2 linked regions of the Rattus norvegicus genome follow. The protein of the gene in region 2 purifies or fractionates together with the protein of the main gene of each other region. This does not show direct contact. Links are inferred from orthologs where the notes say so. Each region holds a gene or a part of one and is shown on either strand. Other genes may lie near its edges.

Region 1 (3,912 bases), on a different chromosome or scaffold from region 2:
GGTATCAGAGGTTAACCCTCGATCCTGAGATCAACAGACATTCTATTCTGGTCTGGTCTAGCTGGTGAGTACAGAGCAGGAAGGTGAAGAATGTGTGGCACTAAGTCAAAGAACAAGGCAAGCTTCCGACACTGTCTGTTAAGAAAGGAATGGTGCGCTGTGGCAGAGTGACCAAGCAAAGGAGCACGGGGGTGGCAGGATAACTAGAGGGGCGAGGGGCCAGTGTGCCAAGAGTCCTGAACTGGGCCCCGAGGGGAGTGCCCAGCATGTGGGTATGACTGCCCGAGAAGCAGCTTATCCCCTGTCTTCACTCGCCCTTTCAGTACCCACCACTGTCTTCCGCACACACCGGCACTGACAGCACACAGGAGTAACTGCAGAAACTGCCCTGGACCAGTGCGCAAGCCAAACCTCGTGCTGAGGTCTGGGTGAACACACCAGGCTTTACCTAGCTTGATGAGGTGCAGGAGCTGCTCCGAGGGCGCACACACCGACTGTGGCTTGATCTCGTTGATGAGGCCATTGGCGATGCTAATGTATCCGTCATAGAGCAGCTGGCTGATGATCAGCTTGTAGAGCTGCTGGCGGTCCTTCAGGCCCACTTTGGTTCTGTACATTCTGCACAAGAGGATGACAGTTCCCCTGACTGCTGCAAGGAAAACCAGCACTGGTGAAAGGCAGAGGCACGCCTCCTAGGCCTAAGCACACACCTCAGTCTGCTTGCTTCTCTCAGTTCAGGTTCTTCAGCTGTTACCCAAGTCACTGGAGGTTAATCAAACTTTTCAAATAGTGTCACTGATGGATCTGCTAGAATCCCCAACCATTTGTCCTTCGCTGCTAACTACCCACCTGCAACTTTTATTCTGCTGCTACCCCTGACTCTTCTGTGAGCAGCGGCACCCACAACAGGCTGATAGCTATGTTTTGTCGGATGCCTGGACCACTTCACACCAGCCGGAATGTAAATCTAGGCAACCGAGCTTATTATTATAATCATGCAACTTGATGAGGCAGTACACGAACACACAAATACATCATAAAAAAACAAAGGAGGGGGTTGGGGATTTGGCTCAGTGGTAGAGCACTTGCCTAGCAAGCGCAAGGCCCTGGGTTTGGTCCCCAGCTCCGAAAAAACAAAAACAAAACAAACAAAAAAAAAAACAAACCAAAAAACAAAGGAGGATCACAAAATGAAAAATAAGCTAAGTTCGACGCTTTGGGAAGATCCTAAGGTAAAACTGCTTAAATGTGTCAAATGCCTGCCCCACCCACGTCTTTAGTCCCAGCACTTGGGACTAAGAGACAAGGAGATCCCTGTGATTTTGAGACCAACCTGGTCTACATAGGTAGTCACAGGCCAGGCAGGACTACATAGTGAGACCCTATCACACACACAGACACACAGACACACACACACACACAAATGACTACCATCAAAACAAATAAGAAATGCAAAAATCTGAACATTGTGCTCTTAAGTTTTATTTGGGAGGATCTAGGCTCACCAGTCCATGAAAATTAAACAGAACTGAAGATGATGGTTTCTTAATCAACCCGGGTAGATAATTTGGTAAGTATATGTGTGGTTAGATGCTTGAATATAGATGTCTGGGGACATCAAGCAAGAAGGTAGCCTAGAGATACAGCCAAGAGTTAAGTGTTTGCTGACAGATACCCTAGGTTCAATTTAAAATAAGAAGACTAGCAAGGCCACCCAGCATCGTGCTGACCAGAGTCCTTAACAATAACACCAGGCAGTTCCTACCGCCAGATACGATGTCAAGCACCTAATTAGCATTCGACCGCGAAACGAAGCTATTCAATATATTCGTGCACATTAGAAATAAGTGTATACAAATCTACCCTTGCATAAGGCATTGGGATACAACATAGGGTGAAATGAGTTCGAAGAATCTAGGGCACCCGTTCAAGCTAAAGTCAGTCCCCAAAAGTTGAGGAGGGGCCAGCACACTCCGGAGCCCAGAACTTTTATCACGACATTTAAGGAAAACGGGGTGGGGAGGATGTTGAGCCTTTACTTAACTCCCTACTGAACTTCCAATGGGGCATAGATCTATTTATATCCTTCGCGGACTGGACACCGAGGCACGAGACAGGAGGAGCCTGACCCCGGGAAGCTAACACCCGGGAATGTAGGAGGCCCAGAGAGAAGCCGCGCGACCACTCCTGCTCAGGGCGCAAGGCAGGGACCCACCGGGACCGAGGCCCTTTGAGACCCGGGGTGCAGGCCAGGCCGGGCAACTCTAGGACACGGACATGGGGCGAACGGCCTCTCGCTATCCTCTCCGCTAGCCCCGGTCCTTCACGTGATCCACTACAGACCCTAGCCAACCGCACTATCCCGTCCCCTTTCGACCCCTCGACCCCGTACCCGCTGATCAGGGTCTCGGTCTCCCGCTCTCTTCTAGAAAAATGGAGGCGCGAATCGTGCCCGATCGATCGCTCTGAGTGCACACTCAGTGCGCACGTGCAAAGGGCATGCAGCCGAGCGCCGAGCAAGTCCCCGCTCACTCGCAAGCCTGCCCTTCTCGCCATCTTACTCACTGGCACGTTCGAGACGCTCATTCACCTTCTCCGAGCTGATCACCTCCGCGACAGCCTTGAATCCAAAGGACTGTGAGTGACCGGCAAACGCCCGATCCTTGGAGAGCACGGCGGGCGATAGAACGGCCGTAGATCGGACAGGCCGTTGGTGCACCACTTCCGGGCTCCGACAGCTCAGTGCGCCTGCGCCCAGCTACGGCAAGGAACGAGCTTCCCGTAGTCGCGTTCAGGGTGAGCCAATCACAGAACGGCGTCGCTCCGGCTATAGCCAATCAGCTCTCGGAGGAGAGGGTTTAACTCCTATTTTAAAAGGAGAACCTTTGAATTGTAACGGCTGAGCTACCGGGATCGCTTGGAGACTTCGGTCGGAAGCAGGTTCTTGCCTGTGAGTAGGAAGGGGACCCGGTTGGTGAGGACGAGCTTGGTTGCTGCAAACCGAAGGGGAAGGTTGAGTGGCATCGGGGTAATGGACTGTCTTAGTGGGTTTGCATTCCGTTTAAGAAAGACCCAGACGGCTTTTTTCCTGGCTTGGGTTTAGGCTTTTGTGGGAATGGGGACCCAGACCGCCAGCTAACCGAGTAATTTGCAAACTGATGGTGGACGCGGGAACTGCGGCTTAGTGAGGACTGCTTCGGGTGGAGAGTCGGAGTCTAGGTCGAATCGAGTCCGCAGATGAACGGGAGTTCCCTCGTAGAGTGCCCAGGACTGGTGCTGCTCTCACCGCAGCCTTCTGAGCAGTTTACGTCGGGACTATTTGAGGGTCTGGTTCGCACCTTAGACCCGTTAAAGCCCAATTTGTAGAGTATCCCAGAAGCCCAAAGCTTGACCCCAGCACTGCCTTCATGACCCCCTTCCCGCTGTTTATTCCAACAGTAAGATGGTGGAGGCAGGCTCAGAAGTCAAAGGTCATCCTCAGCTACACAGTAGGTCCAAAAACCCAGCCTAAACTACATAGGACCCAGACTCAATATCCCCCCAACTCCTACCACACACAAACACCCCAAGTGTGCCTCAGCAGTCTGAGGCAGAAGGATAGCCTTGAATCTGAGGCCAGTCTCTCCGCTACAGTGTCTCAAAAGTGGAGCCTGTCTGGGAGTGTAGTTCAGTTAGTAAGGTCCTAGCACGTCCTGGGTCCCCTCCCCAGCACTTCATACATTGAGGATGGCGATGAATTTGTAATCCCAGCACTGAGGTACCGCAGGCAGAGGAGCAGGAGTTCAAAGTAATCTCCACCGTTTAGCATGTTCAAGGCCAGCCTGGGATCCAGGAAATTCTGTCTCAACCATAAACCTAAGGTTAGGTGTGGTCTCGCATTCTTTTAATCCCAGTATCTAGGAGGCAGAGGCA
Region 2 (3,812 bases):
CTCCTGGTGAACCACCACACTGCTTTAAAGTTTCTCTAAGGACCTGGGTCACTGCCCACTTGACTTGTTTGCCCTCTACTGCAGGTTGTACATTCTAGTCTGCTGATCTGGTGACAACCTAGTCCAGTTCAAATACTGCAGGGCCCTGGAACCCTGTGAACTTACCCTCCCTTTCCTTTGGAAAACGCTGCCCTTTGTCCCTGCAGGGAGATTTGTCATAGGCAGAAGGCCCAAGTTCTGTCTGTCAGGGCTGTTTTCAGGATATGTGTGGGTGGATTTCATTCCCAAGTCCTGTACTATCTTCCCTCGCTCAGCTGGCGTAAGGGCTAAGTTTAATAAAGACTAATGAGTCACTCCATTCTGACTGTGTGGAACCCTCAGACCCCACACAGATGAACCACAGCAGCTCTGTGCTGTCCTAGATCCAAAGCAATGCTCACTCTGAGCACCAGCAAGCAGGGACCATATAGGCAAAGCCCCATCCAGGATCTCATATTCCCTCTTGCCCTATGGACTGGCCATCCCTACTGCCTTAGCCTTTGAATTCCTTGGGATAGCAGGACTACATGGTTTGCTTGGACTCCAGTTTCCTGAACCCTAGCAGAGAACAGGGGTCCTGAAGGCCTGCCCTGGTGTCTACTCTCAGAGCCACAGTCTTTCCTGTTGGCTAAGAAAGCAGGTGTGTGATCTCATCTGGCTTGCCCTACTCTGGTAGGAAGGCCAACTGGACACCAGGTACTGTGAAATCCACAGGAAGGTTAAAAATTAAAAAAATATATAAAAGCCACATCTTGACTTTACGACTCAAGCAGGTATTAATTTACATGGGTAAATACTTTCAACGAAAGCCATGATTTAAGATGTAGTATGCCTTGTCTAACAGGAACCAGATTTTCTTATTCCTACAACTCATACATGAAAATATTCCTAGACAACGTTTCTACACCTCTAAAAATTTCAACTCACCTTACTTGTGGCAAAAACAGAGCAAACACTACTTCCTATGTATACAAAAATAATTCAAATATGACACTGGAGTAGGTTTTAGAAGGTCTTCATTTAAAATAGCCATGCTTACACAATTCTACACTACTCAAGCTTCATAGGAATGCTGGGCCCCTCCCTCCTCCTGTCCTACTTTGTCCCTGGGATGCCTACCAAAGAAGCAGTACACACCTGCAATGGGCACATAGCCAACACCCTGCTGGTACACAGTTGGCATCAGAACCACAGGCTGAGGCGGCATCATCATGGCAGCTGGAAGGGACTGAAACACAACAAAGAAAAACATGGGTGTCAAGGAGGACCATACCATATGTCAATCTTGTTACTTCTGGTATCATAGGGCTAGTCCTAGCCACAGCCCAGACAGCAACACCCAAGACATGGAATCCTCAGCAAGAATGTAGTGTCCATGGCCACTGGTTTCATCTGCACCACTCCTGCAGACCTCCTCCCTTCAGCTGGAAGACTTGGGCTGCAGACTCAGAACTACAGCTCAGTTAGGAAAGTGCTTGGTGCACAAGCATGAGGACATGAGTTCAATCCCCGGCACCCATATATAAAGCTATGTTTATGTGTGTGTGTGTGTGTGTGTGTGTGTGTGTGTGTGTGTGTGTGTGACACATATCTATAATCCTAGGACGAGAGAGGCAGAGACAAGAAGATCCCTCAAGTTCATTAGCCAGCCAATCTAGTGAATGGAATGAGTTTCAGTTTCAGTGAGAACAAGAGTCAAGGTGAAGACCAAAGAAAACAAATGATGTCAACCACTGGCTCACACGAGCTACAACCACACCACTTCTCACACAGGACTTACAAAGCTCCCTTCAGGGTCCATTTTGGAGACTGCATCAGTATCAGTAGCTTCTCTCGGAAATGCTGAACTGCTTTGTTTTATTTAACATATCTTAGTGTTTTGTGTGCCTATATGTGTGTGCATTATGTGTGTGCCTGATGCCAGTGAAGGTTAGATTAGGGTATTGGATCCCCTGGAATTGGAGTTACAGTTGGTTGTCAGCCACCATGAAGGTACTGGGAATCACAAGAGCAGCAGTGCTCTTAACCTGTTGAGTCACCTCTCCTGCCCCAGCTCAAATAATCTTGAACTGTAGATGAGCGAGTATACAATGGACCTATGCTACATAAAGCACCTGTTAAAGATGGGTGACACTCCACACCAGGAGAGGCATGTAGGATGGTAAAGCGGAGGAGGCCTGCATACCGGGTGCTTTATACTCCCCTGTTCTCAAAGGCTCAAGAACAACTAAAAGGAAAGGCCCAGATAATACAAAGGAGACAGTGGGAAACCAGACCCCCAGCCCTGCCTCCCATGACTTCCCAAGGTTCTGGGAGCCATAGCTATCTCAAGGAGGTGCCAGACCCTCTTTGAGAATGGCCTCGCCAGACAGTGAACTCACCGTATAGGACATGACCAGGTTAATCATGCCCTCCTTGTCGTCGCCCTGCCTCCCACTCAGGCTATACCACTCGTCCTCCACTTGGCCCTGCTTCAGGGACTCGGGGATAGTGATGTGGGTCCAAGCTATGCGGTCGTCCATGGAGAAGGCTCGCTGAGGAAGACAAGAGTAAAATGACCTCATTATGGCCCTCAACGACCCATGTTATAGAGACCAGCTTTTCCTAAGGCTGTGCTTGGACTGCCGCCTGCATCTACCTTCTGTGTTCTTGGCAGGACAGGGTTCCTCTCACTGCTCCAGCTTCCTCCAAGGAGCTTCCCATTAAACCACAATCCCAGACATCCAGGTGACCTGTACCTGGCCACCACTACTTCTGCATCTTCTGAGTAACCACCATAAGGTCAGGCCAAAGGACAATAAAGAAATCTCTTGGCTGCCATCCTTGCTCAGGGATGGACACTGTCCTCTGCAGTCCTTGTGGCCCTAACTAATCAACTAGATAGAAGCTGTAAGTCTCAAGCCCAGTAGGTACAGACAAGGACAAGAGCTGCCAGCCCATCCATAGCCCAACCCTCCTTCCCATATCCCTACTCTTCACAGACGCTGAAGAAGAAAGCAGAGGAAGGGGGTAAAGACAAATGAGTGGCTGCGTCCCCCTCGCTGGACTACCCATGCCCACTTCCTTTCTGGCTCTCACCGTCCCCATTCTCTTCCCACTGCCCTTTGCTCTGTTTCAAGGAGGCAAGCACATGGTCTCCAGAACTAAGCTGCGAGAAGACATCTTCAGCCACCTGAGTTTCCTGACTGCCCTCAAAAAGTTGCACACCTAACTGCTGGTATGGCCATGGGACATTAGTGTCAGAGCCTGGAACTGAGGCCTGCAAGAACAGTGTTCCCCTCACTGAGGGTGCTGACTTATTTGTAATTCGACTTATCCATGAACATCTATCTTCACACTCTACTCATGCTTCTATCACTGGTGATGGCTCCTAATGGACACTGTCAAAGAAACTGTACTTTGTCATTCAGCCACTAAATGCCAGGTGTCCAGGCAGGTTACACCCTGTCACTAGTCACTAAATGCTAGGTACAAAGGTCCTGAGCACCAGTAGAACAGCCTCATGACTACAACCACAAGGCACATGCAGCACACCCATGGCTGCCAGATCCCAAACTTGGCAACTCTGTAACATTGGAGCATCTCTCACCTCATCGAAGATCTCAAGGTAGAACGAGTCCACACCTGGGGGCACTGTGCACTGAATAACCTTGTTCCATCGAGGGTTCTTGGCGCCATTGTGTGCTGTGGGAGTTTCATAAACAGCATAGCCCAGACGCAGGCGGCAGTAAGGGTCCATACGAGTCATGCCATAATTCTTTGCCAATTTGGCC

What was found.
Region 1: the proteins of Tollip (region 2) and Cstf1 purify together in Homo sapiens (co-immunoprecipitation; 3 studies listed by BioGRID and IntAct, with this or other methods). This does not show direct contact. The link is inferred for Rattus norvegicus from reciprocal best matches to the Homo sapiens genes TOLLIP and CSTF1.

Annotation. Positions count from the first base shown.
Region 1 is NC_086021.1:181,561,795-181,565,706, reverse strand, and holds the start of Cstf1 (cleavage stimulation factor subunit 1), read right to left. Parts: upstream 2,753-3,912; 5' UTR 2,566-2,752; intron 2,529-2,565; exon of another isoform or gene 2,393-2,528; intron 650-2,392; exon of another isoform or gene 647-649; 5' UTR 618-646; coding exon 449-617; intron 1-448. UniProt on the Homo sapiens protein: One of the multiple factors required for polyadenylation and 3'-end cleavage of mammalian pre-mRNAs. May be responsible for the interaction of CSTF with other factors to form a stable complex on the pre-mRNA.
Region 2 is NC_086019.1:206,398,297-206,402,108, forward strand, and holds part of Tollip (toll-interacting protein), read right to left. Parts: intron 3,812-3,812; coding exon 3,629-3,811; intron 2,574-3,628; coding exon 2,421-2,573; intron 1,268-2,420; coding exon 1,177-1,267; intron 1-1,176. UniProt on the Homo sapiens protein: Component of the signaling pathway of IL-1 and Toll-like receptors. Inhibits cell activation by microbial products. Recruits IRAK1 to the IL-1 receptor complex. Inhibits IRAK1 phosphorylation and kinase activity.